Linked DNA regions of Oryzias latipes. The protein of the gene in region 1 interacts with the protein of each later gene in a pairwise test. Links are inferred from orthologs where the notes say so. Each region holds a gene or a part of one and is shown on either strand. Other genes may lie near its edges.

Region 1 (3,765 bases):
GAGTAAAGTGGAAAATGTAAAGATAAAAGAGTGCAAAAAACATTTGGCTCCACTTGTGTTTGATCCTTACAAAGCTCTAGATGATCTCTGCCTCTGCCCAAGTACTTCATGATGCTATCATAAAACAGATTTGTCTTTGCCAAGACCTATAAGTCATGTTAGAACCTGTTTTTGCTGTCACAGAACATGTTGGAAGTAAATCAGAACGTGTTCAAGGTTTGCAAAAAGTCTTCTGTTTGTTGAGGAGCAGTGCATTACAAAACAAGGGCAGCAAACCCCCAGACCCTGTTTTCCAGAAAAAAAGATGACAGCATGTCACTTTGTGACTTAGTGACTGAAAACATGAAGAGGCACATCAGAACCTGTTCAGATCCTTCAAAGCCCCCTTTTGTTTAAAACATGACAGCCCTCCTCCCCTTCTTTTCAGAATCCTTGCCTTGTCTCGACCAGGTCGGCTGAGGCACAGCAGAGCCGTCTGCTTTCTAATACCTTTGTATGAACCATATGGAGTGAGATCACCATCGTCCAGACCCCTCGGGGCCAATAACAGATCCACTGGTGTGGAATGGAGTCATGAGACACCGAAATACAGTCACAGGAAGAGAGATCTGCATTCAGATTAAATGAGAGCGGGTGTAATTACTTGAAACAAAGTTAATCATAAACAAGTGACAGTAGAAATTATGATGGATTAGAAAAGGAAAACAAAAATAGTGACAGACTTAACTTTCTTGCATGGTTCCTATATGCATAGCAAAAAGCACATAAAACAGTTAGTTTAATACATTTAATAGTGCATTTTGATTAACCTGTACAGAAATAATATTATTAAAAAAGATAAAACTTTTTGTAACACAGAGTTTTACGTATACAATACAATAAAATAAATGATATAAAAACAAAAACAAACATATATCTGAGGTATAAATATATTTGCTTTAAATTAACTGTCATTGTCATGCATTATTATTTGGCAGAGACACAGTTACAGCTAAAAACATTTACGATGTGAACAACGGTTTAGTGAATTTATGATACACGTAACATGAACAGACTGAAGCGCAACTGTTACAGCCAAAGAAATGTTTCAATCTTGGTTTAAAACACAGAATCTTTGCAGAATATTTGTCCTTCCTTTAAAAATCTACACATTCAATCTGCCCTCCTCTATACAGTAAAACCTGTAAAATCCCCACCTTTATAAAAGGACCTCTTTTTTCCTCAGGTTACCTTTCCGTGCAGAGAGAAATTAATGTTCAAAGTCAGATAATTGCGTCTTCTGTGCTTGTTTGATGTAAAAGCAATCATAACTTTTGCCCTTTCTTGTCTTTTTTCTTTTTACCTTTTTTAAGTAAAATAAATGTGCTGTGCTCTACAGGTATCAGTATCAATATCAAAAACTTTTCATCCTTTATTCATTTGGCCCTTTAAATGTCAACAGGATTTTCTTGTAGATTTCAAACTTTTAAGCATTTTGGCTTTGTATTTCAACGTTGAAACCCGATTTTCCTGATCAAAAGCAACCTCGATCAAACTATTGGATGAGGCATGGCTGAAAGAGATTTTTCCTTTTATTTGTCTTCCAGTCAATTATGTCCTTTCTTTGATCAGTCATTTCATTTTGGTGAACCAGCCACCAATACTCCTCTGCCTCCACACTGAAACACTAAAACCTTGTGTACTATAGGCCACCTGTCATCTCACGATATCCTGTTTATTGGCCTCACTCAGTCTGCAAACTACCAGCACATTCGCATCTTTCGACACCCATAGATTTGTCTATCAGCTCGCTATAATAACGTCTCCTTTTCTTCCTGTGCTTTGCTGTAACAGAGAAGGGGACGGAGGTAACACAAAGCGGACACCGACTGGCTCTACGCGACCAGAGCACACTACAGTATATGTACATATTATTCTGTTCCTGGGGGAACCACAACAACAACCCATACAATTTTATTTATTTATTTAGATATACGTTTTTGGCTTTTCCCATGTCCCTCCTTTCACTCCCACTTGAGATCCCCCTTGCTTCTCAGAAGCGATAACGCCGTTTTAAATTAAGTCGGAGGCAAAACATCCCGTGTCAGAAACATAACGTCCCGAGGCCCAGCTAGTTCTGTTAGTCCTCTTGGCAGTCCCAGTTTTAAAGGGAAAAGCAGTCTGTTTTGAAGAAAACAGTTCCTTTAATCCTGGTTTATGTTTATCAAAGGATCAAGAGACTTTCACTTCATCTGTATTTTGTTGAAACAAGGCATTCCAGTCAAAACGGCGTGCTGCTCTCTTATTTGTCCATGGGCACAGAGAAGGATTCCCGAATCCGTGCCACCTCAGCAGCACACAAGTGTCCATAAAGCTTATTGTACCACTCCGGGAAACGACCCCTGGAGAGAAGAAAGATTTGCATGTTTGATGAATAAATCAGTGACTCGAAGTGCACTGTAAGGCTAGTTTTATAAAATAGTGTAACATTATGCCCACCTGCAGTCAACTCTTGAAATGTGTGTAAGTCTCGATTTGTTGGCCCCGCAAGGCTCTATGAAGTAGCGTGATGTAAGGACGTTGGCCCGGACGCCTACCATCGGCGCCCCATCATGGTCCACAGATGAACTCACGAGTGCACACGCTCCCTTCGGCAGATCTGTCACCCAAGTCCTGGAGGACAACACAAAGGTTGGATAAAGTGTTATGCAATGTGCACAGAGGCGCATGCGATGCGTGCTCAAGAACGCGGAACCTGCACTTGAATGTGAATTTAGCATATGGTGTTCACACTGGACTGCCACTACCCAATACTAGCATTGGAAGAGGCTTGGTGCCAAATGATAAAGTGGTGCAAATCTCACAAATCTTGTTTCAGGCTTTTTCTTTCATAGCTCTATTTAGATATCTGAAAGACTTGGTGTCATAGAATTGAATTGGTTAATTCAAAAGGGGCCCCAGTCCACAATTTTTCAAAATAGAGATATTATATGTTCTATGGTCTTCAAGGGAAAAGCTATCTGATTATGTGCAAAAAAGTCCCAAGTCCGTTGTAATATATTGACTATGCTTTACATTTAAAATGCATTAAGTGTAAAATTCCTGGACTTGGGCCTCTCTTGCACTGGTTTTGCTTTATCCCATAGATGGCAGCACTAGTCATCCAATATGGCAGCGCCCCTGTTTAATTCAAGAAGGGCCCAAGTCCAGAGACTTTAGTTTGCTAGTCCTCTGAAATTATAAAATTATAGCATTTGTAAGCTATGAACTGGTGCTAAATCTGGGTAAAGTATTAATCATTTGGTGTAGCCTCCATTTAAGCTATGCAATTAAAATAATTTCCTGGAAAAACAAACCTCTTGGACTTGGGCCCCTTTTGGACTAACCGATTCAATTCCAGCTGGGCACAAACCGTAATTATTATAAACGGACTTAAAAACTTGAGTGAATGCGAGAGTTTTGAACGTGCATATATATGCGTTTACATAGACTTTCATTGTAAGTGGTCACATAACCATGTATTGGAAAGTAGCATTACATTGAACAACAATGTAAAATAGAAAGTAAAGACCAGGATGAGATGAGGAGAAGGTCTACCTGAGCACCACATGGTCTCTTGTGGGATGTGGAGCCATGGTGTTCCTGACGTACTGGTAGACTTCTGTCCGCTGATCAAGGGTTTCCACGACTCGGCTTTCAAGCAGATCCTCATCCCACTGGCCCTGCTCCCGCAGCACCCGAGTCAGAACCTCCTCAGGACTGGCATGAATTTCTACGGTCACTTTC
Region 2 (3,927 bases), on another chromosome or scaffold:
ATTTTTATTGTTTGTGGGAAAAAAAGACACTGGTCAAAAATATGAGCATGTTCTGAACAAATGTATAAATTTTAGAGAATGAGAATGAACAAAAACATCTGTAAACGCTATATGTTGCAAAAGGATAATTGTGATTTTTTTTTTTTGAATATGTGTGCATAGTTATAACGTTTGGCAGGCTGAAGTTTTATCACATTGATTGCACAGAGTAACAAAATAAAATCTAATGCTAAACAAATGTTAAAGATGTTACAAATTAATCATTTTATAAATCTATCAATTAGAAAAAAAGAAGCCCTAATGGGACAATATACAATGGAAAAATCATGACTTTAATGCTTTTTTCCCCTTCTTTTTTATGCTTTTGTGTTTATGCGAATAATTATTATATGTTTAATATGTAAAAATGTATGCATAAAAAATAATAATCTTAGGGGTGGCAATTAATATTATTTTCTTCTACCCACTCCTTTTTCAGGGCATTTAGCACTTTCTATTTATCATATGTATCTATTTCCTTTTATTTTGTGTTTGAAAATAAAAGGAAATTAACCAATCAATCCAAACATGAGACCCCTAAAATGAACGTTTAAGGCAGAGGGGGGGCGTTCAAAGCTCTGATAATGTTTGGTATAATGTTCCACCATCTGGAACCCTGAATACAAAAAAAAATCATTGTGAGTATTGATTTTAGAAGCGATTGATATTTCTTAGAGCTCTGCCCTTTTATGAATGTGTTTGAAGAGCTGGTTCCCAGCATGGAGTCTCTCTATTAAACTGGAATTACTAGTTTGAATCTGAATCCTTGAAGCCATGACCGCTCCTAGCAAATAGCAAGTTTACAAAGTAAACTATACTTGCGTATAAGTATAACAGAAAGTATACTATGGACCATGTACTGTAGGAAATATAGGCTTCTAACTTAACACTTTTTCAGACTAAATTGGAACATTAAAAGTCTACACAGTATTAAAATAGTATATAAAAGGTAAACTTTAAATAGATTGTCTCACTTTAAATACAGACTAAATTTTTGCAAAGTCTAGCCGAGACCCTAACTTTTGAGAAAACAGCAGCTGCAAGACAAACACATAAATGAAGCTTAGTTGTTCAAATCAGCACTTAAAGTAATATTTTTTTAAAGAAAAGTGACTCAGGCATGACACTAGATGTAAAAAAAAACAAACTCATTACATTTTAATAGTTGGCATTAAACTTGGGCAGAAACCAACACAATTGTTGTGTCAAAAACGAGGTTCAGTTTGCTGTGATTATTTTGCAAAAGTGTGTATTAAATTGGATTTTAGCAGTGCAGCAGCCCACTCCGTGGGACGATTGAAGATGTCATGGACCGAACATGGCCAGCTCTGCGTTCAATTAGCCGCGCCTGTTCGGGACTGGACGAGAGCGGCAGAGGGAGGGGTGAGCGAACAGCGCAGCAGCGGCGGCGGCCAACAAGCCACCAGCTCCAAGAAAAAGAAATAAACGCCAACTTCGCCTCTGCGTAGGGCAAAACCATACTTTGTGAAGTCCCTTTATTACTACCATGGGAAATACTACCTTCCTGGGGACCTAAACGACAAGGAGTCGTTTATGGACTGGATTTTTAGACGGCTCCGAACTCAGAAGGAAAGAAAACAACACTGGGGAAAACGGGTATTATTACACACTCAACAGTGACAATAAAACATTTTTTCGACAAGTGGTCCGCCTGGTGCCGAGGGTGAGGTTAAAATTGGAAAACGGCGAAACTGTATTTTTTTCTTTTCTTTCTAGGATAAACCGTGGATTTTCTCGGTGGCGTTTCTGTGTGAACTTTAAACTTGGGAAACAATGGAGACAGCGAGCACAAACTCATGAAGTGTCTTGAGGCTGCCAGCCGTCCCGCTAGCGTTAGCTTTACTGTCTTATTGGGTAATGCGTGGTGAGGCTAACGGCCGCTGCAGCTAAGTTAGCTGTCGGCTAACGCTAGCTGGTTAGCCCGGCGCGGTTTTCAGAAACTTTTTGGGTTGTTTCCACGGAGTTCAGACGCTGAATAATTCGTCTGAGGACAGAGGGGAAGGGCGGGTTCCCTTTGGTACTTTCCTCCCTCCACTCACTTTCATACATGATGGCTGCGGAGGTCAGCGGGGAAGAAACCGTCACATCAGGGGTGGCAGGCGGAGGAGGCCCGGAGACGGCCCCTTTCCCCTACTACTCCAAGCCAAGTAGAGTGGGAGTCACCGATCTGGGACAAGGTCCGACACAAACTCTCCGTCAATTTTCAAACACCTCTCCGGACTCAGTCCCCGACATGAGCATAATGTATCCCGCCTCTGCTGGGGACATGCCAGCTTCAGCAACAGGAGGAGGTGGTGGACAGTCAGGTTTTCCTCGAACAAACTCAGGGACCGTGAGCAGCACGTGCCACTCTCCCAATTCGGAGGATTCAACGAGCCAGTTTTCACCCACATATAAAGGCCCAGATAGCCCCACTGCCTTCCCCCCGCTGCCCCCGCCACCCCCAGCCCCAGCAGGCTGCGCTGGGCACGGCGTCACCATGGATGAAAGCGATATGCAGGATGGGCCGGAATGTGAGGACGACGAGGTGCTGCTTGAACTGTCTGCACCACCTACGAACCAGTAAGTGCAGTCCTTTTACTTTTATGTTAAAAGTTATTTTCTGTTGAACCTTCCAGTAGATCTGGTCAGTTCTTCTTATTCTCCAAACAACCATTAGGATAATAATCTTTTATTTCCACCAGGTTAATAAGTAACAAATAACAAAATGTCAATGTTGGCAAACACGTTTTCAGCTTCTTAACATGGCCCCTTAATATAAACTATTCAAATCAATAAACACAGGTGCTTACAAAAGAAATATTGATTTCTTGTTTTGGGGAAATGCAAATTACTTGGGGCAAGGCGCATCAGATTGTTTTGAAACTGGATGCACTTTTACATTTATAATTGTAATGACTTCCCCTCCACACCCACACGAACACACACTGTAACCCATAAATGTCAAAAGATAAGAGATCCTATTGAATCACTGTTATTTTCTTATGTAACCAGACATATGATCATTGACCAGTACCTTAACATTATCAGATTCTTTTTTCCACACGTCCAGTATGTGTTGACATGAGATGTGTATTTATAAGAGGAATGGAGGTCTCTATGAAACTATAATAGTGAATAAAAATAGAACTATTCACATAAGGAAACTGTTTAATAGTTCTAAACGCAGTGAAATGCGTACTGTTTCACCCAAATATCTATAAAGTGTATGATGAAGTAGTTAATGTCAGGTCTGACTCTTTTGTTGCGCTTACTTGAATGTTAGTGGAGTGATCCAAAGAAAGAATAGAGAACTTAAGCAGTTAACCCACAGGACTATTTAAAATCCCTTATCATTTATAATGTTTTGTTTTGCACTGGGTACATCTGCTGAAGTGACTTTCAGTTGCAGATAAACAGAAAACCTCATCCTGTTGCAAAACTTTAGTGCTGGGAAGTCCACAAGTATAAGAATAGCATTAATATTTATTAGAGTAACTAAATGTATGAATCAACATATGAATATCAATCAAAATATATTTGTTTTCATTTTAATTTATTTTTTGGTACAGTCTAAAATTCATGAGTATCCAATATGCAGAGTCTACTGCAGCACAAATTCAAAACATTACAAAGTAGAGGTGGAGAATCTGGCTAATACTTTGTTTAGAGAGATGCCTGGCCACTATGTGAATCCAATTTTAAGTTCTCTATGACTTGGATGGATAGTTAGGCATTTTTTTGTTTCCTCCCAAAAATAAACAAGAATGTTAATAAGGTCATTTTAAAATAAAATCCCCACTTTGCTATTAAGCAAACCACAAATATGAATACTAATATAAAATGCAAACAGATACATTTGAACACATATCAGCTAGAAGCAGTAAT

What was found.
Region 2: the proteins of rho GTPase-activating protein 7 (region 1) and rasa1 interact in binary tests that used the Homo sapiens proteins (3 or more experiments, as listed by UniProt). The link is inferred for Oryzias latipes from reciprocal best matches to the Homo sapiens genes DLC1 and RASA1.

The regions. Positions count from the first base shown.
Region 1 is NC_019859.2:13,855,119-13,858,883, forward strand, and holds the end of rho GTPase-activating protein 7, read right to left. Parts: coding exon 3,577-3,765; intron 2,653-3,576; coding exon 2,479-2,652; intron 2,382-2,478; coding exon 2,282-2,381; 3' UTR 774-2,281; downstream 1-773. UniProt on the Homo sapiens protein: Functions as a GTPase-activating protein for the small GTPases RHOA, RHOB, RHOC and CDC42, terminating their downstream signaling.
Region 2 is NC_019867.2:14,730,407-14,734,333, forward strand, and holds the start of rasa1 (ras GTPase-activating protein 1), read left to right. Parts: upstream 1-1,401; 5' UTR 1,402-1,656; intron 1,657-1,776; 5' UTR 1,777-2,107; coding exon 2,108-2,622; intron 2,623-3,927. UniProt on the Homo sapiens protein: Inhibitory regulator of the Ras-cyclic AMP pathway. Stimulates the GTPase of normal but not oncogenic Ras p21; this stimulation may be further increased in the presence of NCK1.